4 linked regions of the Danio rerio genome follow. The protein of the gene in region 1 purifies or fractionates together with the protein of each later gene. This does not show direct contact. Links are inferred from orthologs where the notes say so. Each region holds a gene or a part of one and is shown in the gene's direction. Other genes may lie near its edges.

Region 1 (6,418 bases):
TTTTTCCCGTTTGCTTTCGTTTTTCCTGCTGTACATGAATGAGACTTTACCTTATCGTTCAGCTTTTGGGACTCTGTAAATAAGGCTATTTCTGTTTGTCTCGCCTGGGTTTTGATATGACAGATGAGCTGCCCTTCTGCAGTCGCCTCAACAGCTGATTGACTGCGGCGCATGGCTGATGCACCGAGGGATTGTGGGAATTGTAGTTTTTCGGGCGGAACAGCCGTCAAATTCACTGTGACATGTTGTGAAGCTTATGATTGGCAGGCAAAATTGGGGATTTGTTGTGAAGCTTATAATGGAATAATATGCAAATCACGGTAGTGTTTTAGGTTTCATTTCAAATGCATAGTGGTCCCAGTGCTTCTAAATGTATAATTTTAAGTCATAATAAAAAAAAAAAAAAAAAACAAATAAAATGCTTTTATGCGTTTTGGCTAAAATCTAAATTTTAACTCGATTACGATTAATGAACAATTATTATTTTATTTATTTTTTGACCTCATAGTTCACTGACAGGTTTTGTACAGTAAATATGCTCACATATTACAGGTGAGGGATTTTTTTAATGAAAGTTACATTACTTGACTTTATAATAATTGAAAGAAACACACACTATGTACTATCAATGATTGTTTATTGCGCATCAACATTGAACAAAGTAAACTAAAACACCCATTGCCTAAAATGAGCAGTCACTTTTTAAATAACTTGCACTTTTGGAAAAAATAAATTATTTTCAATGTTTTTCATAATAAAAGTAGAAGGTATAAAGGCTATAGTGTATTATTGTATGCGACCGCATGAAGGCTGCGTCTGACCATATGAGTGCGCTCGATGCAGCAGTATAAATCAGCCAGAGCGGGGTCACATGACTCCACGCGTGATAGGGAAAGTAAGCGAAAAAATTTGACCTGGAAAATTAGATCGATTATAGGTTCTAAATGTCGATTTCGATTACTTTTCTATTCATTTTATACATTAATCAGATTTTTTTTAGATTTCTTTGAGTACATCTTAATAGCATGTAATATGGTTAATTGTGCAGTGATGTTTTGCATGATGTTATGCTGAAACTACCCAAGAACATTTCAATTTTATAACACAATATTTACGCTTTTATTGAACTTTTGAATGTTGAAATTTGTTTATTGAATATCAAATCAAAGATCAAAATAAACACAATAAAAAAGATTGGATTGCAGCTGTTGTTTACATCAAACAACAGCTGAAATCAGATCTTTTTTGTGTTTATTTTGATATTTGATTATCAAAATAAACACAGTAGGTGATTTTGATTATGAAAATAAACAAAACAATCTAACGGCAATTTGTAACTTTTTGATTTAGTGACTAAATCGTATGAAGTAGTACGATCTAATTCGTACATTTTTTGTACGATTTGCTCATCCCCCAATGACAATTGGGTTTAGGGGTGGGGTTAGGTGCCACGCCTCCTTTTTGAAAACGTACAATTTTGTACGAACGAACTAGTTCGTACGAATTAGCCACAAAACCGACAAAACGAAAAATACATGTTCTCGTGAGATCAGGCTGAAATAAACACAGTAAAGTGGCCGAATGCAATGTTAGCATTACGTTAATGTTCACTGCAGCCTGGCGATTGCATCTCTATTTTTAAATATAATACTATAGTACATTTTTTACTCGATAACTAGTACGTGGATTCATGTAAATATATATGGCAGAAGAAGGAGGGTTTGTAATGCAGCAGAATTTTTCCATTTTATAACCCAAACTTACTTGAGTATGTTTAATCTGGTTATTAAATATCAATTCAAATATCAAAATAAACACAATTAAAAGCATACAAAGCCAACATTAATTTAATAGAGATTTATTTTAAAAATGCAATGATCTCTCTCAGATATCTCTGCATTAAATACTAAACGAACACTCATTAATACTAATACAGAGATTATTTATTATGTATTATTGTTTTTTAATCACAAGTAACCAACTGGGTTTTTCTTATTGTATTTAAAGCTATTCACATGGGTCAAATGTGAGGTGTACATTCCTTATAGAGAACAGTGCAGTAAATATGCTACAGTGAATTTACAGAAATATAGCCTAGCTAAAGAGGCATATTAATGCTTGACATCAAAACACTATATGTTATATACAATGTGTATACACTGTATATTTATATAGCATATCAAAACACATCAGCAATAAACAAACACTATAATTCCAAAGGTATGTGCTATATGAAATGAATCAAGCCCTCACTAATCACATGTATTATTATTACTGAATCCCTTTCAGTAAGCAGTTAAATAAAACATGCATTCCAGTCATTTTTAAGTTGTGCTGAAATATGTTCACTCTCCTTACCACAGTACGAGGTATTCTGAAGCCAAATATGTATCTTCATGTTGCTCCAGCAGGCGTAGTCTCTCTTGCTCTGGGCTGCCTGCCTCTGCGAGAACATAAATTTTTATATTTTTGGCTACATGGAATAAAGACTACACGTCCCAGAATGCACTTGCGGTCTCGCGATTCCGAAGTTAACGCTCGCACAAGCGCGGTGCCGCGTCCGCTCGCGTTTTCTCACGCGCAGTCAATGGAGTCACTGCGTGTTTCTGGAAATACTGGCATTTATGAATATTCATTAACAGATCGGTTTATATTAATTGATCTCAATGGTCTATGATCGGATTTCAGCTGTCGTTTGATGTCAGTAAGGTAGCCATATGCGTTGTTAGCATCGCGTTAGCGTTCACTGCGGCCTGACGGTTGAATCTCTATTATTAAGATAATACTAAAGTATTTTTTTTACTCGATAACTAGTGCGTGGACTCATGTAAATATGGCAGAAGAAGGAGCGGTTGTAATGCAGCAGATCGTGGACAGGTAAGTGAAAGAAACAAATGTAAACAAACGGCTAATGCCAGCTATGTCGACCTGTCAAAGCTTCATATAGAGGTATTAACATTCGTAATCGCATATATAAGTAATCCTAACGAATAATAAGAGTGTCTAAGGAGAGATTGTTTGCAGGTTTAACGTTAGAGCGATTCTGCTTTTGCAAAGAGATGCTAATTGTGTTACTTGCATGATGTGACGTCTTTGGCGAGGGGGCGTGACCTTGAGTTGGCATTTTAATTTTGTTTTGATTTAGATTTGCTCCTTTGTTTATATATTTTAAATCCTTATGGTCATCCATAACCTCATATGTATATCAGCCCTGTACTAAATGTATTTTTAAAACACTAATAGCATACTGTTTTTGTGTCAAGTTTGTATTTTAAATTTTGCATAAACTAATAGTAAATAACAGTAATTTTTGACTATGTCTACATATTAGATTATAATGCTGCGTTTCCTTTGCATAAATGAAATTTATGGGTCTATATTATACAGACAGTACCTTAAATGTTTATATGGCTTAAGTGTATTTGCCATTTTGTGTGTGTGTGTGTATATATATATATATATATATATATATATATATATATATATATATATATATATATATATATATATTAGTATATGAGCTATGAAGTAGATTAAATTCAATTTTTAAACTTCTGGTTATGTAAATTCAAATTGGCAGAATTCTTGCTTAAGTACACTCGCCGGCCACTTTATTAGGTTGTCCTGTCCAACTGCTTGTTAACGCATATTTTTAATCAACGAAACACATGGCAGCAACTGATGCAAATGCAATCAGGCATGTAGACATGGTCAAGAAGATCTGCTGCAGTTCAAACCGAGCATCAGAATGGGAAAGAATGGTGATTTGAGTGACTTTGAACGTGTCATGGTTGTTGGTGCCAGACGGGCTGGTCTGAGTATTTCAGAAACTGCTGATCTACTGGGATTTTCACGCACAACCATCTCTAGGGTTTACAGAGAATTGTCTGCAAAAGAGAAAATATCCAGTAAGCGGCAAGTCTGTGGGCACAAATGCCTTGTTGATGCCAGAGGTCAGAGGAGAATGGCGAGACTGGTTCCAGCTGATAGAATGACAACAGTAACTCAATTAACCACTCGTTACAAAACAATCAGTTATGAAGAAGAGCATCTCTAAACACAAAACGCATCCAACCTTGAGGCGAATGGGCTACAGCAGCAGATGATCTCACTGGGTGCCACTCCTGTCAGCTAAGAACAGGAAAATGAAGCTACCGTTTGCACAGACTCACTAAAAATGGACAATAGAAGATTGGAAAAGCGTTGCTTGGTCTGATGAGACTCGATTTCTGCTGGGACGTTTGGATGGTTTGGTCAGAATTAATTGGCATCAACAATATGAAAGCATGGATCCATCCTGTCTTGTATCAACAGTTCAGGCTAGTGTTGGTGGTGTAATGGTGTGGGGGATATTTTCGTGGCACACTTTGTGCCCATTAATACCAAGTGAGCATCGTGTCAACGCCACAGCCTACCTGAGTATTGTTACTGACCATGTCCATCCCTCCACAGTGTACACATCTTCTGATGGCTACTTCCAGCAGGATAACGTGCCATGTCATAAAGCGCAGATCATCTCAGACTGGTTTCCTGAATGTGACAATGCGTTCACTGTACTCAAATGGCCTCCACAGTCACCAGATCTCAATCTAATAGAGCTATTTTGGGATGTGGTGGAACAGGAAATTCGCATCCTGAATGTACAGTCAACAAATCTGTAGCAACTGCGTGATGCTGTCATGTCAATATGGACCAAAATCTCGGAGGAATATTTCCATTACCTTGTTGAGTCAATGCCACGAAGGATTAAAAAGGCAAAAGGAGGTCCAACCCGATACTAGTAAGGTGTACCTAATAAAGTGGCCGGTGAGTGAATGTTGTATGATAATGTTGACTTTAGAATATGCTCATCATTACATTACCGGTTTACTTTGCTCTTCAAAGTGTTCAGTGAGTTGATTCATGTGTTAATCAACACTACAGCACAGCTTACCTTGTTCTGACCTCAGAATATTCCTTTAATAGTAAAACAGCTTAAGTCATAAGAGGCTTGATTGCCTGTTTGATCTGACTCGCACACCTGCTCAGGTCAGTAGATGCTTTCGGGACGGTTCAGGGTAAAAAAAGCTCTTGCCGTGAGTATCTGGAGATTTTCTTTTAATGAACCCATAAAGAGGACAGCGTGCCCTGGAGAAGTTTATAGTGACACTGTTGTTGTGCATTGACCCTCAGGGGTCATAAATAAACAGTACATCGCCTCTTCCCTGTAATTGCAGATTTTCTAAATATAGGAGCATTTGTTGGGTAAATGACGTGGACAAAATCTGACTTCAGTAATTATTCATTGGGTCAAGCTGTTTGGTGTTCTGACCTTGTCTATGTTTTTTTCCACTGAGACTGTGCTGTTTGCCACATAGGGCCAGGCAGTGCTTGCAAAATAAGCGAGATTACTGCACTGGCCTGCTGATGAGGCACAGTCCAGCAGACCTGTCAACGGCAGTCTTAAGGCCAATTCACACTGTACCGACAGAAACCGACAAACGTGAACAATCATCAGATAAACGCATGTCATTTCTCAGACATTCTCTACACACTGACAAGCAACGATTCAGCAAGTTAAGCCAACGGAAAAAGCCTGGCGTGCTACTTTTATTTGTTAGCGGAAAGATGCTAGGAGCTTTGATGTGTTGGTAAAGGCCTAAAATAATAGTTTTATGCAGCATGCAACAACTAGACCAAACGTGACCGTAAATACATTTGATTTGATTTATTTTATTTTTAAAAATCATACACTTTAAACAATTCTTTAAACAAAATACATTTCATCATGATTGAAATAAAGCGGGATGAAGCGCAAGCTTATAATTTCCTCACCCCATTACCACATCTTTCCACATCATTCGTCTATTACTTCAACTGATTTCTTACATTTTTACATATAACATTATATTAGATACTTTTAATGTTGTTTTTGGTATTCACTATATTCGCTTTTTCACTCAGAGTTGACTTCTTTTCAACTCCGAGCGCACGGTGTGCAACAGCAAAAATGCGAGGCGCAGCAGGCGGTTAAAACGCGAGGCGCACAGGGCACATAAGCAGTGCGCAAAACGCTCACGGCCGTTAGAAAACCATTCAAAAAAGGTGCCTCTCAACGCATAAAGCGTGTTAGGTGTGATCGGCCCCTCAGTACGACCATTTCTCCTTTGGCCAAACTTATGTTTAAACACAGTGGATTTCTATTGTAAACAAATACGGTTCTCTTGACATTTTTTTGTATTCATTAAAAAATTTTATTAAAATGGAATTTCATAATTCATTTTGAGCATGTTCATTTAGGCCCAATCCCAATTCTATTTTTGTACTCCTACCCCTTCCCCTTGGCCCTTAAGCCTGGTTTATACTTATGCGTCAAGTGACCGGCGTGACCCACGGCACATGCAACGCCCGTATGTGTGTCTCTGTTGGTCTGCATTAA
Region 2 (5,807 bases), on another chromosome or scaffold:
TTATGTGATAATCCAAAAATAAGCTGATGGAAACATTGCTGTAGACTCTGCAGTGCCCTGTGTTGTGCCATGATCAGCTGAAAGACTGCAGCTTTCTATTTTAGCACAAGTCCTCTGAGAGTCTTTTAAATATTAGAGTGACTTAAACAGGCTCTTGTGTGGCGGCATATTGGAAGATGCACAGCAATGTCAGATGTACACAGATAAGTCAAAAGTATTATGAAACCTCTGTCTAATTTACTGTGGGACCCGTGAAGGTGCCTTGTGGTGGACATTATTATCAGGTCTTTCAAATGCTGTAGGTTGCAAGGTGAGGGCAGTGTTTGTGTGGTTGATAATGTAGGTGTTGTGTTTGTTCAGGGTCCGCGTCCTGCTCTATTCGTGCCTGAGGTGTCGTTCGAGCTGCTGGTGAAGAGGCAGGTGAAGCGTCTGGAGGAGCCCAGTCTGCGCTGTGTGGAGCTGGTGCACGAGGAGATGCAGAGGATCATTCAGCACTGCAGCAACTACAGCACTCAGGTACACTGCACACATTGGATGAGCGCTTCAATGTTCTATTTTTCCCTCACAGAATTTGTTTTTCACTGCTATTCTTTTACAGCTTGTTATGTAGCACAGGCCAAACAGAATCTGCTGACATTTTTTGCTATTTCTGCTGATAATTTAGTAAAAAATATGCAGATTTATGCAGTAATGATTTGGGGGGTATCATAACTAAAAGCGTGAAAAAAAGCACCTTTTTAACGTTTTATTTCATATTAACAATGCAAATCCAATTAGATCCATTTATTTGGTAAACAAAGCAAGTCCCATATAATATGTCTACTAAAAGACTTGTATATTACTTATAAGTAATATATTACTTTACAAACTTTATTGTAAATAAATCTTATGAACATTTTATGAAATTAATTTAAAAACTGAATAAATATAAATTTACACAAGTAAATAAATGCTCGATGATGGGCAAAAAATCGGAGGATTCTGTGTGGGCTTACACAAGATGTTTACATCAAGAAATATAATTTGTTTAAGGTTTTTTAAGCTATGCTAAGATCATAAAGCTATATTTAAATAATTTTCTCTTTAATTTTTGTTCAGGAGTTGCTTAGGTTTCCAAAGCTCCACGATGCCATAGTAGAAGTGGTCACATCTCTGCTCCGGAAGAGGCTCCCAGTCACCAATGAGATGGTTTGTGTCTTTCTCATGTTCTCTTTATTATTTGAGGCATTATTGTGCAGCTTAAGTGCATATATTTCTTCTCCAAAGCCGCATTTGCACTCTGTTCCAGGTTCACAATCTTGTGGCAATCGAGTTGGCTTATATCAACACCAAACACCCAGACTTTGCTGATGCTTGTGGACTCATGAACAACAACATTGAGGTTTACAGACATTTTCATGATGATGTTTTGGCTAAAAAATACCAAATGAAAAATATTTTCATTGTAAAAATTATTTTCATAACAGGAGCAGAGACGTAACCGAATGAGAGAGCTTCCTACTTCTGTGCCTCGTGATAAGGTATGAAATTTAGGTTAATATTAAGTATTGTGTTTTCTTACAGGAAAAATGTGACTGCCCACCTCTGCTATTTAGTTTTTTAGTTAAAAAAAAAACCTTGCTTCTTTTTCCTTTACTTTTTTCTCAGAGTTAGTCTAAAACCTGCTGCTTTCCTCTTTAGGTGACTAGTTTCTTGTCTTCCTGTGTCTCTCTGTAGTCTTTAAAAGGTCCTGGTGGGCAGTCAATGTCACCCACTGATCAACCGTCTGCTGAGGGCGATGGCCCTAAGGTGTGTTTCGCCCCCTGTGTGGAGGGGCAAAGCATGGAGTTGATTTTTTAATCAAACTCTTATAATCCCCAACTGCATGATCGCAAACCACTAAACTGACAGCAGATGATGCTTTTGCTGGGCAGTTTTGGTTTTACTGATCAGGACTTTCTCAAACCTCTGTTGTGTGTTTGCTGAGTTTACTTGAAGACCCTCTGCAACTGCAAGTGTAATTTTGCAGTTGTGTCTTTTCAGTTTGTGGCCCGAATTGGTGTTTTATGTGTGAACTAATGCGTCCGGATACTTTAACACACTGTAAGTATGTGACCTCTATTGTATTGGTGTCATTTCTAAGAATTTGGCGACCATGCCTGCAACCAAACGATTTTTTTTTACTATTTACTAACCTGCCTAATTAACCTAGTTAAGCCTTTAAATGTCACTTTAAACTGTAGAAGAGTCTTGAAAAATATAAAGTAAAATATTATTTACTGTTATCTTGGCAAAGATAAAATAAATCAGTTATTAGAAATGAGTTATTAAAACTATTATGTTTAAAAATGTGTTGAAAAAAAAACCTCTCTCCATTAAGCAGAAGCAGGGGAAAAAATAGACGGGGACTAATAATTCTGACTTCAATTATATATATGTATGTGTGTGTGTGTGTGTGTGTGTGTGTGTGTGTGTGTGTGTGTGTGTGTGTGTGTGTGTGTGTGTGTGTGTGTGTGTGTGTGTGTGTGTGTGTGTGTGTGTGTGTGTGTGTGTGTGTGTGTGTGTGTGTGTGTGTGTGTGTGTGTGTGTTTGTGTGTGTGTGTGTGTGTGTGTGTGTGTGTGTGTGTGTGTGTATGTGTTTTATTAATTCATTTTCTTTTTGGCTTAGTCCTTTTATTAATCCGGGGTCGCCACAGCAGAGTGAACCGCCAACTTATCCAGCAAGTTTTTAACGTAGCGGATGCCCTTCCAGCCGCAACCCATCTCTGGGAAACATCCACACACTCATACACTACGGACAATTTAGCCTACCCAATTCACCTGTACCTCATGTCTTTGGACTGTGGGGGAAGCCGGAGCACCCGGAGGAAACACACGGGAAAGCAGGGAGAACATGCAAACTCCACACAGAAACGCCAACTGAGCCGAGGTTTGAACCAGTGACCTTCTTGCTGTTTGGCGACAGCACTATCTACTGCGCTACTGCCTTGCCGTGTGTGTGTGTGTGTGTGTGTGTGTATACATATATATGTATACATATATATGTGTGTGTGTGTGTGTGTATATAATTTATATAATTTATATATATAATATTTATGTATATATATTAATATTATATATATATTAATATATATATATATATATTATATAAAATTTATATATATAAATATAACACAAGTAAACACATGCAGTTTTGAAATTAAGTTTGTGTTAATAAGGGCAAACAAAATACAAAATAGTGTATTAATAGTGTGCAAAAGAATTTGGCACCCCATTAAAACTCTGGAAACGTAAATTTATCACACCCAAATTCAATTTCTCAAGCTATATTCAGACCTAATTACTACTACACCTGTTTGCAATCTAGAAACATTCAAACAGGACCTTTCTGACAAAATGAAGTAGACCCCATGATCCTCAAAAAATAGACATTATGCCGAGATAAAAATAAGGAATCAATAACGGGGCAAACACTTTTTCACAGACTGTATAAAAACACTACATCATGAATAACTGTTTGCAACTGTGAATGCAAGAATGTATGGGTCTTTCCCAGTGATGGGTTGCAGCTTAAAGAGCATCTGCTGCGTAAAACAAAAGCTGGATAGGTTGGCCATTCATTCCACTGTGGCGACCCCTGATTAATATGGGACTAAGCGGAAAAGAAAATGAATAATTGTTGAAATGAACATTAATTGTTCATGTTTGTAAACACATTAACTTAAAGAACTCTTTTACAAAATGTGACCGTTAACAGCATAGTCGGTTGTATTCTTAGTACTCTGCAAACCCGTTTCAAATTTCAGTAGTTCTGTTGCCAAAATATGACACTTTTCTCGAAACTTTGCAAGTCCTGCCCTTTCACAAGCAAATTTAAAATGACAGAGTGCACAATATGTTTGACTATAAACATAAGAACCAGTGTTTTGAATCCATTCTTTCACTGAAATGCAAATGAAAACAAGCTCTTCAGCATTTCCAAATGTCTCTACATTTGAGGATTGAAAAACTTGAAAGTATGCTAAAAGTTCAATTAACAACAAAAACACACTAGCGTAAATGTATCCTCCATGCGCTCTCGGTTTATTCTGTCTTTACACTTTTGATAATGAAAAACCATTGATTACATGAACTTAGATCATTTATTTGGCTGTTCGATATATTTCACATCTAACATGAATGCATAAAACACCAATGGACTGCATGGCGTGGTATATACTGTAAAACACTAGTGGGCACTGTACAGTAGTGTCTTGTTCTTGTTTGTGTGTATCAGATGGCTGGAGGAGCTCAAGCGGAGCAGGAAGGAGGAACAGGGACCTGGAGAGGTATGTTGAAGAAGGGAGATGAAGGCCAGGGTGAGGAAAAGACCAAACTACAAAGCTCTATTCCAGCCAGCCCTCAGAAGGGGCACGCGGTGAACCTTCTCGATGTGGTGAGTAAGGATGGGTGACATCCATGATAAACAATTATGTTTTTTTTCTACTGTAGTCTGAGCACTTACAAGTGTTTCTGGTAACACAGCTTTCTATCTACATACAGTTGAAGTCAATATTATTAGCCCTCCTGTGAATTTTTGTTGTCCTTTTCAAATATTTTCCAAATGATGTTTAACTGAGCAAGGAAATTTTCACAGTATTTCCTATAATGTTTTCTTCTGGAGAAAGTCTTATTATTCGGCTAGATTAAAACAGTTTTTAATACTATTAGCCCCCTTAAGCAATACTTTTTGACTGTCTAGAGAACAAACCACTGTCACACAATGACTTGCCTAATTACCCTAACCTGCCTAACTAACCTAGTTAAGACTTTAAATGTCTCTTTAAGCTGAATACTAGTATCTTGAAAAATATCTAGTCAAATATTATGTATTGTCATCATGGCAAAGATGAAAGAATCAGCTATTAGAAATTATTTATTAAAACTATTATGTTTAGAAATATGTTCTTTCTGTTAAACAGAAAACTAGATGATGAAAATTACAGGCGGGCTAATAATTCCTCTATATTTACAGTTCATTTACATTGACACTTACATGAGTACTTTTGCATGAAAGTTGTTGCGACATTGTATTTTTACAGTGGTCCAAAATGGAAAAACTTCTTAATCCAGAGGATTTTGTTTTGTCATTGCTGTTTTTCTGGCTTGGTGTTTTAAGAGACGGGCACACCAAGCTGACGGTCGGCCATTGGGTTTGTCAGGCCATCATTTTACATCAATCTGGCTAGTTGGTTTAGTGTGTTCCATAGGTTGCCTCTCGTAGTTACTGTCGGATCGAATTGGCCAGATACAGCATCTAGAATTTATATATGTAACAGAGAGCACTCTGATTGGTTAATCCATTATGAATCAGAGTACTAGATCAAAAACTGATGTGATGTAGCAAGTAAACAATTCAAGTCCAGAAAGAACACAAAGTGGTCGGCTGTAATTTTGCTACATTTCTCAAAGATTTGCAAACGATTATTAGACATCCTCTCCCAAAGGTGCAAGAACATGCACTCTCGTTTACTTGGTTGCCATCCATTTAGTGTGTACATAGGCAGCTTTTTGAACCAGAGGTGAGCCGACACAAAACGACAACACAGTTGGCTTGTTTTGCCACTAGTTGTTTGGCCTCGGTTTGGTGTGTCCTTAAGAGGCAGATTTAATTGTAAGATTTGTCATCATGTTGAATATGCACAATAGGGTTGTCACGATACTGGAATTCGAAACCAGTCGGTACTGAAATTTTCCACTACTGAAACGTCCAATTCCCACGAATATTTAAGCACTATGGAGCACGTACTTAAACAGCGCTGATTTGCTATTGTGTTCACATGTTCAAC
Region 3 (5,807 bases), on another chromosome or scaffold:
GATGAAATCGAATCGTACACCAGCAAACTGTCCATCATTCAGGAGGTGTTGGCTCGCAGACATATGAAGGTGGCTTTCTTCGGCAGGTGAGTTTTGTGTTGCTTGTGCTTTTATCGCTCATCTCCACTGAGTTTGGAGTAAAATGTGATTATTTGTTGTCATTTAACATGCTGCATTTACTACAGCAGTAGTTCATTGAGATGGGACGTCATTATCGCAGAATGATTATCTCAACTATCATTGACTGATTAAATTAAATTCGGATTTACACTGATTTTTGCATAGCTTCTGAGTGTACAACACCTTTTTTTCTGCTCTTTTAATGGTGCCTGGGTCATTTTCTATATAAGTATGTTGATTGGAAATATACATAATATTATGTAGAATGTAAGATTACAATGACCATCAGGACATTTTTTTAAACAATTAGCAAAAGACATTTTTGGATTCATACTTTTATTGACATTGTGTATATGGAAATGTCCACTCCTCGCATCCACGATGCAAGAGAGGACACCATCTGACTTTGGGCGCAAACTTTGGACAGACTTAAAGATTTACTAACTTGAATATATGAGACATCAAAAAGCATGAACTTCTAGTTCTTTTTTTCCCTCATTTATTATTTATTATCAATTTGTTTTATCATTATATTATTTATTTATCTTTATTTAATTTATTTTTATTTTCCTTTTTTTTTTTTTTTATCTCTTTTTATGGTAATGTAAGGTTTCCTGTTTGGGCTTCTAATAACTTTCATTGTCGTAGACCTTTTTCAACACAGTTTTAAATACCTCTATGTTTAAAAATCTGTGTGTTTGTATGCGTGTATATCTGTGTGTGTGTGTGAGTGACTGTGTGTGTGTGTGTGTGTGTGTGTGTGTTTGTTTGTTTGTATGTGTATATGTGTATGTTTATATATATATGTGTGTGTGTGTGTGTGTGTGTGTGTGTATATATATATATATATATATATATATATATATATATATATATAAATATGTATGTATATATATATATATGTATGTATATGTATTAATTTATTTTATTTGTCATTTTTATTTGCGTTAGTATGTCCTTGTCATTATTCTTCAGTTTTTCCTTTTTACTGACAATATTGTTGTCATGGCTGACACTATTATGGATACTATTATTTAACAACTTGTAGATTGGGTTATATATATGTATATCTACACATTTTGTTATATGCTGATTGTCTACGGCATGTTTTTCTGTGTTCAAAAAATACAAAATAAAAAAAATATTTGATGGAAAAAAAAAAACAATTAGCAAAAGACAAATAATAATAACAATATAAAATACAATAAACAACCCCCCACACATCCATACATTGTATAGTTGTCACAAAATGTTTCTCATAATGATATTACATAAAGATCACAATGGTTGAGGGTGATAATAAATAAAAACAATAATGTAATTTTTTATGTCAACAATAATTATATTTAAAAAATATGATAAAACATTGACTTTAAATAATAACAAAAAATAAGACAAAATAACAACTACAAAAACCCATACAAAAACAATAACAATAACAATAATTAAATGAAATAATCAATTATTAAAGTCTAACAGAGGTAATGTGTCAATAAAAGGGGCCCTAAATACAGTCAAGGTTTGTGAGCTTTTGTCTGACCGAATATAATATGGTGCCCTGGTCATTTGTAACCTATAAGTCAACATGAGAGTTAATAAATGTTATAATTATCCTCTGTTCGCTGTTTTCTAGAACAAGCAATGGTAAAAGCACCGTCATCAACGCTATGCTGCGTGACCGTGTGCTGCCCAGCGGCATCGGACACACGACTAACTGCTTTCTGAGTGTGGAGGGAACAGATGAGGACAAGGCCTTTCTGAAGACTGAAGGCTCCGAGGAGGAGAAAAGCATCAAGGTACGAGAGACGTTTATTACTTTCTAAACACTAGGCATGGGACGATAACCGGATTCAAGGATTACCGTGTTGTGGAGAAGGCATGGTTTTAAAACTGAAAACTTTATTATTATTATTATTTTTTACGTGTTAACAAATTTGAAAACTGCAATAAAAACCTAAATGAAACATGTTGTTTAACATTTGTAAAGATCATGTCAGATGTGTTTTTCCTCCACAGACAGTAAATCAGCTGGCTCACGCTCTGCATATGGACGAGAGTCTGGACGCCGGCTGTCTGGTCAAAGTTTTCTGGCCCAAAACGAAGTGTGCTCTGCTCAGAGACGACCTGGTTCTGGTGGACAGGTACATTTCAGTGCTCTCAAAATGCTGCTAATATGAGATAATATTAGGTATCATAGTGAATGTTGATACTTGAATCACAGTCAAAATGGTTTGCTCTCATGTTAAATTTTAATTCTGTTAACAATAAGTGCTGCTTAAAGTAGATTTTTTTCCAAGCAGTTTTAAACCTAATATTTTCCTAATAACTAATTTTCTAATAACTAAAATATATTGAACTTCTCTTTCAGTCCTGGAACTGACGTGACCACAGAGCTGGACAGCTGGATTGATAAGTTCTGTCTGGACGCTGATGTGTTTGTGTTGGTGGCGAACTCTGAATCCACACTAATGAACACGGTGAGCTGTGCACTGGATTATGCTGATCCGAGTGTGTGCTAGTGCTGCACCACACTGGAGAAAAGTACAGTATTGTTCTTGGGTTTTGCCATAACAATAGTTCTTGCAATATAATATTTACTGTTATACTATAGATTTATAGTTAACGCTAACTCTATCAAGCCTCTTCAGCTGCTTCAGAACGCAGCAGCACGAGTGGTCTTTAATGAACCTTAAAGAGCACATGTCACTCCGCTGCTCATCCGTTTGCACTGGCTGCCAGTTGCTGCTCACATCAAATTGAAAGCTCTGATGTTTGCTTACAAAGCGACTTCGGGCTTTGCTCCTTCTTATCTGCTCTCACTTCTGCAGATCTATGTGCCCTCCAGAAACTTGTGTTCTGTGAATGAACGTCGCCTCGTGGTTCCATCCCAAAGAGGGAAGAAATCACTTTCCCGAACTCTCGCATTCAATCTGCCCAGTTGGTGGAATGAACTCCTGAACTGCATCAGAACAGCAGAGTCACTCGCTGTCTTCAAGAAACGACTAAAAACTCAACTATTTAGTCTCCACTTCTCTTCCTAATCTGCAATTCCCTCTCTGACTCCTCCACTAACTTAAAAAAAAATAAAAATTACTAACATTTTGCTTCTTACACTTTCTTTACACACCTAAAACTTGCCTACAGCACTTATTCATTGTTGCTCTTATAGTTGTGTAAATTGCTTCCTTGTCCTCATTTGTGAGTCGCTTTGGATAAAAGCGTCTGCTAAATGACTAAATGTAATGTTACTATACTATAGAACATAGGTCTCAAACTGGATTCCTGGAGGGCCGCAGCTCTGCACAGTTTTGCTCCAACCCTGATCAAACACAGCTGATCCAAATAATGAAGGTGTCCATGACTCTTTGAACGCCTCGAATATTAGGATCAGCTTTGTTTGATAGGGTTGGATCCTAACTGTGCAGAGCTGCGGCCCTCCAGGAATTCAGTTTGAGACCTGTACGCTATAAAATATTATAACACAATATACTATAGAATATTATAACATCATAGCACATTATATGTGTAAATATAAGTATAAACGTTTGCATATGTTTGAAAATTGGTAATATTTAAATACTAGGACAGCATTGAAGTGCTAGAAATGTTTGTAAATGCACCTGGAGAGTGCTTGAAAAGAAATTTGACTTTGGAAAAGGTGTCAGAATCCTGTAATAATTAACTATGTGGAAACGGTCAAGCACTGTCACCTAAAGTCATACATGAATTGGAAAATATCATTTATACTGAAGCTTTTTACGAAAGTCCCCCGAGAGAGGCCCTGAGAGAGGCACTGAAGCATCCTGGGATAGCATGCATGCCTCAGTGGGTAAAGCAGAGTTCAGTGTGTGCGTGTGTGTGCGTGTGCGTGTGTGTGTGTGCGTGTGCGTGTGTGTGTGTGTGTGTGTGTGTGTGTGTGTGTGTGTGTGTGTGTGTGTGTGTGTGTGTGTGTGTGTGTGTGTGTGTGGATAACGCAGCTCTGCATTCCTCTGACCGGCATGCAACCAAACACTGAGCAAACCCTCCCGCTGCTACACATACCCATATTAGCACACACACACATGCACACACTTCATGCCATGTGACATCATTACTCAATATGCAATATGACGATGTTGAAGTCAGTATTTTTTGTTAAACATAATTTAATTTTTGTTCTTTACAAAAGAGTTCCTAAGTGCTGTTTAAAGGGCTGGTCCACTACAATACCATATGTTAAACTTTAGTTGATGTGTAATGTAGCTGTGTGAACATAAACAAAATCTTTGAATGTAGACAGTAAAAGTTCAATGCAAAGGACATCATTGTTTTTACATAATTAATATTATTTGATTTATTTAACGTGATGCTTGCCTGATTTAGCACATTCCTTTAGTCCTGTCTTTATTTCTTCATGCTCAGTACTGATTTAATGCTCTAGTTCAATGGTTCTCAAAGTGGGGGTCGGGACCCCCCGAGGGGTCGCGGGACAATGAAGGGGGGTCGCCTGGTGGTTTCCAAAAATCTATTTATATTTTTTAAACCATAAGAATTACCATATTTTATCCATAACCTTCTGAAAAGAAAAAAATAGTCGTTTATACTATATATAGTTACTATAGTAGCTTATAGTTACTACTTCTATTGGATTGCAACCCCTGGGGTAATTGCATTGTATTAAAGACACAGCAATAGCGTCAGATGCAGCAGATTTCATAACACCTGGTTAAACTTTATTGCCCATTTACAGCTCTCATACATAAAAAAAATTAAAAGAAGAATAGACTTGGGTCCATTGGTGTGTGTGTGTGTGCCATTGCATGCAAGGTTTCTGTATTTATAACCACCTCAGAGGATATTGGGGGTCACGAGTCACTGGCATTGTCATTTTGGGGGTCGCGGCCTGAAAAGTTTGGGAACCCCTGCTCTAGTTTATTACTCCTGAACAGCTGATCAGATAAGACTGAATACCTGTGTGTTGTATTTACACTGACTGTGTGTGTGTGTGTTCAGTAGAGTGTTTCCACTACACAACCTTTAGTGACCCTCAACCTCATTATTATTTCTCTTTAAAGGAGAAGCATTTCTTCCACAAGGTCAATGAAAAACTTTCCAAGCCCAACATCTTCATCTTGAACAATCGCTGGGACGCTTCTGCTGCCGAACCCGAATACATGGAGGACGTGAGTTTATTTAAATTACTATGGATGTTGTAGATTTAAAGGGGAGCTTTTATGCAGAAAGCACTTTTATGGCTCGTTTCCACTGACTGGTACGGTACGGTTACGGTAGTTCCACTACCAAGGGTATTTTGGTGGGCGTGGTGTATGACAAAGTTTCAGTCAACGTCATTTTCACTCGAGGAAATGTCGACAATAAAGCTGTACAAGTCACTCACATATCATATGAAAAGCACTTCTCACAAAACAGACGCTTTACACACATAAATACTTGTGTATAAAGGTTTATTACTAACATTTCTATGAACATGAGTTGATTATAACTGCAGATCAATAACAGTGCAAAATAGCCTACTGTAACGTCTGTAATTATATTAAATAAATGAACCTATATGAACACATACAGACCCTTACAGTCCCCGATATGTTACCAACTACAGAAGAACTACACACAGCAGACATTTCGTCCTTTATTGGGTTCCAAACAACACAAAGTATAGCCTACAGTCAGAGTAAACCTCTCATCTG
Region 4 (6,310 bases), on another chromosome or scaffold:
TTTTTGTTTTTCCTTATTTTTTAAAATATGATACGGGTTTGGAATGACATAACTTTGAGTTGTCATGACTTTGAAGAGAATAATAGTAGTCTATTAACTGTCAATGGCTTTGTGTTGTGTTCAGGGTGGAGGCTGTCGGTTCTTGAGGTACGACTGCTCCATTAGGTCTCCCAGGAAGGGCTGGGCTTTCATGCACCCGGGACGCCTCACCCATTACCACGAGGGTCTGCCCACCACCGAGGGGGTCCGATACATCGCCGTCTCATTTGTAGACCCTTGAACTTGTGTTTAACGGAAACTTGAATTTGCTTTGAATTGAGAAGACTGAATTGAGCAAAGTGCCTTACGTTTCTGAATACGCCAGTGTGTATATATTTCCCATGTTTGTTTTTTTTGATAATTTTTTCTGACTGATGAATGTTGAAAGCATTTTGACAGATCGCTATGCAATGCCGTTTTACTCATTTATTTATTGTCATGTATCGAAGGGATTTTTTTTCCCCATACAGATGACTTCTACGTTGTAACTGTCTTTGCTTTGACATTCACAAGTTTGAGGTTTTTTTTTTTTTGATGCCACTCAAGCAATCGGTGCTGACGTTTGAAAACAGTGTGTGGTTTGTTTTCTAACTGCTTGATGTTGCTTGTTTTGAGATTCATCTTAATGGATTCATCATCATGTCACAATTTATGGAGGAAAACACAATAAAACTGAAAAGAAAAAAAGATTGTTGGACCTGATAGAAATGTGATATTTGGCAATAAAGGCAAATTACATGTGTGACATACATGTTCAGGGGCGACACGGTGGCTTAGTGGTTAGCACTGCAAGAAGGTCACTGATTTTAGTTCTGGATGGGTCAGTTGGCATTTCTGTGTGCATGTTCTCCCCATGTTCTCGTGGGTTTCCTCCGGGTGCTCCGATTTTCCTCCACAGCCTAAAGACATGCGCTAAATATAGGTGAATTGAATAAGCTAAACTGGCCGTAGTGTATAAATGTGAATGCGAGAGTGTATGGGTGTTTCCCAGTGCCCGGTTGCAGCTGGGAGGGCATCCGCTGTGTAAAACAAATGCTGGATAAGTTCATTCCGCTGTGGCGACCCCTGATAAATAAAGGGACTAACCTGAAGGGAAATTAATTAATAAACTAAACTGTTCGTACTGTGTGTGTGTGTGTGTTTTCCAGTACGGAAGGGCATCCGCTGTGTAAAACATATGCTAGATAAGTTGGCGGTTCATTCCGCTGTGGCAACCCCTGATAAATAAGGGACTAAGCCGAAGGGAAATTAATCAATTAATTAATAAACTAAACTGGCCGTAGTGTGTGTGTGTGTGTGTGTATTTCCCAGAACTGGGATGCAGCTGGAAGAACATCCGCGGTGTATGCTGGATAAGTTGGCGGTTCATTCCGTTGTGGCCACCCCTGATAAATAAAGGGACTAAGCCAAAGGGAAATAAATGAATTAATTAATAAACTAAACTGGCCGTAGTGTATGTGTGTGTGTAAATGAGTGTGTATGGGTGTTTCCCAGAACTGTGTTGCAGCTAGAAAGAACATTCGCTGTGTAAAACGTGCTAGATAAGTTGCCGGTTCATTCCACTGTGGTGAAACTTGATAAATAAAGGGACTAAGCCAAAGAGAAATTAAGGAAATAATAAACTAAATTGGCCGTAGTGTGTGTGTGTGTGTGTGTGTGTGTGTGTGTGGGAATGAGGGTGTGTGTGAATGAGTGTTTCCTAGTACTGGGTTGCAGCTGGAAGGGCATTCGCTGTGTAAAACACATGCTGGACAAGTTAGCGGTTTATTCCACTGTGGTGACCCCTGATGAACAAAGGGACTAAGCCGAAAGGAAGTGATTAAACATACACGTTCATCTTTGGATTTCACATATTTAAAATATGTCATAAATGCCACATATATTATGAAATATTGCAAAAATGGCCGCTTTTAATCATTTTCAATCATTCGAATTTTAAATATATGTTAGAATATATTAGCTATAATGTTGTATATGTGTTCATATAAACAATGATAAGTATAAGGACATACATAATTAAATTTGGGAAAACCGTTACCTTTTTTTGACTTTTGAACGCAGTTCCATGTTTGTTTTTCCTTACTGCAACATGCATGTAAAGAATGTCGACAAAAATCTGAGGGCTGTAAAAATCCCAGAAAAGCATCTGGAAACTCATCCTTCAAGATGTTTTGTTATGAACTACTGAGCGCCCGGAGCGACGCAGTGGCGTTTCTTTGTCGAGTTTGCATGTTCTTCCTGCGTTCGCATGGGTTTTCCCCGGCTACTAGGCTAAATTGTCCGTAGTGTATGAGTGTGTGTGTGAATGAGTGTGTGTGGATGTTTCCCAGAAATGGGTTGCGACTGGAGGGGCATCCACTGCGTAAAAACGTGCTGGATAAGTTGGCGGTTCATTCCACTGTGGTGACCCTTGATAAAAAAGGGACTAAGCGAAAAAAAAAAACGAAAAGAAAATGAACGAATGAATACTGAGCGCCCTCGCGTGGAGCAAAAAACAACAACAACAAACGTCGCATGTACATGACGTAATACATCTACCCGCCGTTGGAAGCTAATGCTAAGATAATGGCGACCAAATAATCACTCCGCTCTTATGTAACGTTAGATATGGAATACCTTGCTAAGTACGGATATTTATACTGAACGTAAAGGTAAATACTCATCACATTTATTCACAAATTATGCTTCTTACGTGAAGATAATGGAAGCACTGCTTTCACACCCACTTTTGATGGTCAAACGCTTATGAGCAGTTCGTTAGGGTTAGGCGTTGTTGCGGGTCTTGTTTCGGTTTCGCTTATCCTGTAAATGCTTTAACAAAAGCTGTGATCTGGAAAGCTCTTCCAGAGGAGGATTTCATTAATATATGTTGCGATGACATCGCTGGATCAACATGCTTGAGGATTGTCATAAGATATAATACATCCTACGTTCCTACTGGTAAACATATTTGCTTATAAAATCAACTGTATTGACTTATATGTGAAGATGTTGCTGTGCACGTCAGGTTTGTAGTTTAAAAATGTCCTTTAATTTCGTGCTGGTAACGTTAATGTTAGAAAAGACACTCAACGTTACATAAGTGAAAGGTATGATTATGTGAATGTTTCATCTGATTGCAGCGTTTCGAGGTTGTAAAGATATATAGATTATATATCATTACTTTTTAAATGCATGAATATTGAGGAATAAATAATAAACATTTGCTCTTGACAGCTAAATTGTCAAGTGGGTCCGCCTTCTTTTTTCTAAACCAATCAGAATCGCTAGTCTCACGTCAATCTAACTGCGTATTCGGAATTGCTCGAATATGACTGGCTGAATTGTCTTTGGGGCGGGATTATTAAGAATGATGCAATTTGTCTCATTCAGAGAGATAAAAATTACTGGTATAGATATATATAAAAAATGAAATCTTAAATATGATATACTAATGCGATTACACGGTACGCATTGTTTAAATATACATAATTTATCTGTTACGTTGTACGCATTCCAGCTTGGTGGATCAATCACGTGGTCACGCCGCCCGGTCTAGTGTAGTGGAGGATTGCAGTGGGTTTGGGGCAGTCGAGGGTTGCCGCTTGTGTCTGTGACATTGAGCTCGAGAAAAAGTCCTGTCGGAGCTATGACTCGGATACTAGAGTGTTTAAAATCATTAAAGCTAGAATAAAGACATTATATTCACATTTAACGTCGTTTAAGTTGTTTAACGCGTTAGTTTCTGTCTGGAGAAGAAGTGGGTTGGTGTCGCCTCGTGGAAGTCGTGACTGTGATGTTAGTGTGGGTTATGGATTATAAAATGTTCATAAAACATTGTAAACTCTCTACATTGAGTTTACATCTTAAGTGACCGGACACCTCTAGATCAAATGCTGGGAAGCTGATCCAGCTTATTCGATCTTCTCTATTTATATAAGCTGTTACACACACTGCCAGGTAAGACTTGCTATTTTATTATCATTAAAGTACGTGTTTAATCTTAATTGATCGGTTGTTGCCTGCTAAAATACATGTTTTTTTTCTTGGAACGTTTTAATAGCTAATGATATCTCTGTTAATTAGCAGCAAGATGTTAGAAAATTAAAAGGAATAGTTCACCCAAAATGAAAACTGTCATCATTTAATGTTAACCTAGTAGGACATTCTGAAACACTTAATGTGAAAAAAGCTTAACGTGGCTCAATGTACCTAAACATCAACCAGAGAAACCCAAATTTCTGTCAAACGTTACCTGTAATTTAGAGGTAAATTTGGTTTTATATTAGGATATTCAGACTTTCTCCTTAATAATATAATTTCAGGAAAGTATTGTTTGCCAATTCTAAATAGGGAAATCATATGAGCAGCAAATGACTATTAAAGTACAAAATTGTTTACAGTAAATTAGTGTTAATGTTGTTTACAAGTCATACTTGCATGCTAATTCGGATCGAAAATTCAAAGTAACATATTAAACAATATAGAGACTGCTAAATGAACAAATGTGTGAATTTAAAACCAACTTTACCTGTATACTTGTAATTAACCCCAACTACTGTAAAAAAAAAAAAAAAAATAAAAAAAAATAAAGTCCTAATTCAAAGATAAAGTGAAAAACATCACGTTAAGCATTTTCTCCCATATTGAAGTCTTTTATAAGGACAACGCTCAACAAGTGGGAAAAATACAATTTCTATTAAATTTTATACGTGACTAGGGATGGGTATTGTTAAGGTTTTAACGATAGTACTACTTTAATCGATACCACTTATAGGTTCGATACTTTAACGGTTCTCTTATCGGTATATTTTGTTGTGTTTTTTTTTTGTACAAAATCAAATTGAACATAATTAAAACCCTATATATTATTATTACGTTTTTATTGTAAAATAAAATGAAACCAATAATTGTAAAACAAATAAATAGATAAAAATCCTGTAAAAGAATGTACAATAGATTGAAGGAAAATGACTGTCAGTTTTTAAACTGGAGAAAAATCAACATGTTTGCCTTTTCTGGCAGAAGTCGGGACCTTTCTTGCCTTGTCAATCTTCACTAGTTCCAAACAGGTTTGAGTTTCTTCTTTTGATAACAGAAGATATTTTAAATAAAAAAGCTGAAAACCTGTAACCATTGACTTCTATAGTAGTCATTTTTCCTACATTGTAAAAATGCTGAGTTACACACAATCATCATGTCCTCCCAACACAAATTGGTTAATTTAACTTGAAGGTTTTTACAATTTTAAGTTGATTGGACATTACACAATTAAGTTGTCCCAAAAAATCCTCAAGAATAGTGTTATGTCAGATAATTTAAATTAGTTAAAACAAGCAGCAAAATATAAATTTTTAAGTGATTGAGGTAAAGTTTTTTTTTTTTTAATATTTCGCATATTAAATTAGTGATTTCGCATAGTCAATTATGCTCCCTATGTTGTTTGCCATGGTACTTTGAATATTCAGTCTGAAATTACATGCAAGTATAACTTGAAAACAACATTAGCACTATTTATTTGACAGTGAACAGTTATATTTTGACATTTATTGGCTGCTAATATGATTCACTATTTAGAATTTTGCAAATAATATTTTTTTGAAATTATAATATTAAGGAGAAAGTATAAATTTGAGAATATAAAACCAACTTTATCTCACTAAATGACAATAGTCATCATTTAATGTTAACTTGGTCAATCTCCACTAGTTCCAAACACGTTTAAGTTTCTTCTTTTGAAAACAGAAGATATTTTAAGTTAAAAAAAAAGCTGAAAACCTGTAACCATTGACATGTATAGTATTCGTTTTTCTTATATTGTAAAAATGCTTGGTTACACACAATCCTAATGTCCTCCCAACAAAAATCGGTTAATTTAACTTGATTTTTTGCAGTTTTAAGTTGATTGGACATAACACAATTAAGTTGTCCCCAAAATCCCTCAAGAATAGTGTTATGTCAGATAATCTAAAATGAGTTAGAACAAGCAGCAAAAATATTTGTTTTTTAAAGCGTACTACGACAGTCAAGCTTCAAAATATAATTTATTTTTTTTATTACCTAATACAGGTTTAAAACCATAAGTGTAAAAATGTGAATGTTTTTATTGTGGTGAACTATCCCTTTAATCATTTGGATTTGTTTAAATGATTAGACATTGTGTGAGAAGGTTAGTGTGTGTACACTATAGCAATGTTTCTCAACTGGTGGGTCGTGACCCAAAAGTGGGTCGCGGGAACATTTTCAGTGGGTCGCGGAGTGTGTCGTCAAAAAAACAACAAAATTTTATTTT

The links.
Region 2: the proteins of marchf5 (region 1) and dnm1l purify together in Homo sapiens (affinity purification with western blotting, with the first as the bait; 3 studies listed by BioGRID). This does not show direct contact. The link is inferred for Danio rerio from reciprocal best matches to the Homo sapiens genes MARCHF5 and DNM1L.
Region 3: the proteins of marchf5 (region 1) and mfn1b purify together in Homo sapiens (affinity purification with western blotting; 4 studies listed by BioGRID, with this or other methods). This does not show direct contact. The link is inferred for Danio rerio from reciprocal best matches to the Homo sapiens genes MARCHF5 and MFN1.
Region 4: the proteins of marchf5 (region 1) and mfn2 purify together in Homo sapiens (affinity purification with mass spectrometry; 5 studies listed by BioGRID and IntAct, counting the BioPlex papers as one, with this or other methods). This does not show direct contact. The link is inferred for Danio rerio from reciprocal best matches to the Homo sapiens genes MARCHF5 and MFN2.

The regions. Positions count from the first base shown.
Region 1 is NC_133188.1:45,976,858-45,983,275, reverse strand, and holds the start of marchf5 (E3 ubiquitin-protein ligase MARCHF5), read left to right. Parts: upstream 1-2,537; 5' UTR 2,538-2,833; coding exon 2,834-2,877; exon of another isoform or gene 2,878-3,122; intron 3,123-6,418. UniProt on the Homo sapiens protein: Mitochondrial E3 ubiquitin-protein ligase that plays a crucial role in the control of mitochondrial morphology by acting as a positive regulator of mitochondrial fission and as an important regulator of immune response.
Region 2 is NC_133200.1:21,485,206-21,491,012, reverse strand, and holds part of dnm1l (dynamin-1-like protein), read left to right. Parts: intron 1-360; coding exon 361-516; intron 517-1,098; coding exon 1,099-1,188; intron 1,189-1,288; coding exon 1,289-1,381; intron 1,382-1,466; coding exon 1,467-1,520; intron 1,521-1,716; coding exon of another isoform or gene 1,717-1,788; intron 1,789-4,255; coding exon 4,256-4,414; intron 4,415-5,807. UniProt on the Homo sapiens protein: Functions in mitochondrial and peroxisomal division.
Region 3 is NC_133186.1:46,709,873-46,715,679, reverse strand, and holds part of mfn1b (mitofusin-1b), read left to right. Parts: coding exon 1-86; intron 87-1,753; coding exon 1,754-1,916; intron 1,917-2,136; coding exon 2,137-2,261; intron 2,262-2,488; coding exon 2,489-2,597; intron 2,598-5,174; coding exon 5,175-5,282; intron 5,283-5,807. UniProt on the Homo sapiens protein: Mitochondrial outer membrane GTPase that mediates mitochondrial clustering and fusion. Membrane clustering requires GTPase activity. It may involve a major rearrangement of the coiled coil domains.
Region 4 is NC_133183.1:57,627,904-57,634,213, forward strand, and holds the start of mfn2 (mitofusin-2), read left to right. Parts: upstream 1-2,652; 5' UTR 2,653-2,690; exon of another isoform or gene 2,691-3,978; intron 3,979-6,310. Other genes in the region: plod1a (procollagen-lysine,2-oxoglutarate 5-dioxygenase 1 precursor), read left to right, coding at 125-280. UniProt on the Homo sapiens protein: Mitochondrial outer membrane GTPase that mediates mitochondrial clustering and fusion. Mitochondria are highly dynamic organelles, and their morphology is determined by the equilibrium between mitochondrial fusion and fission events.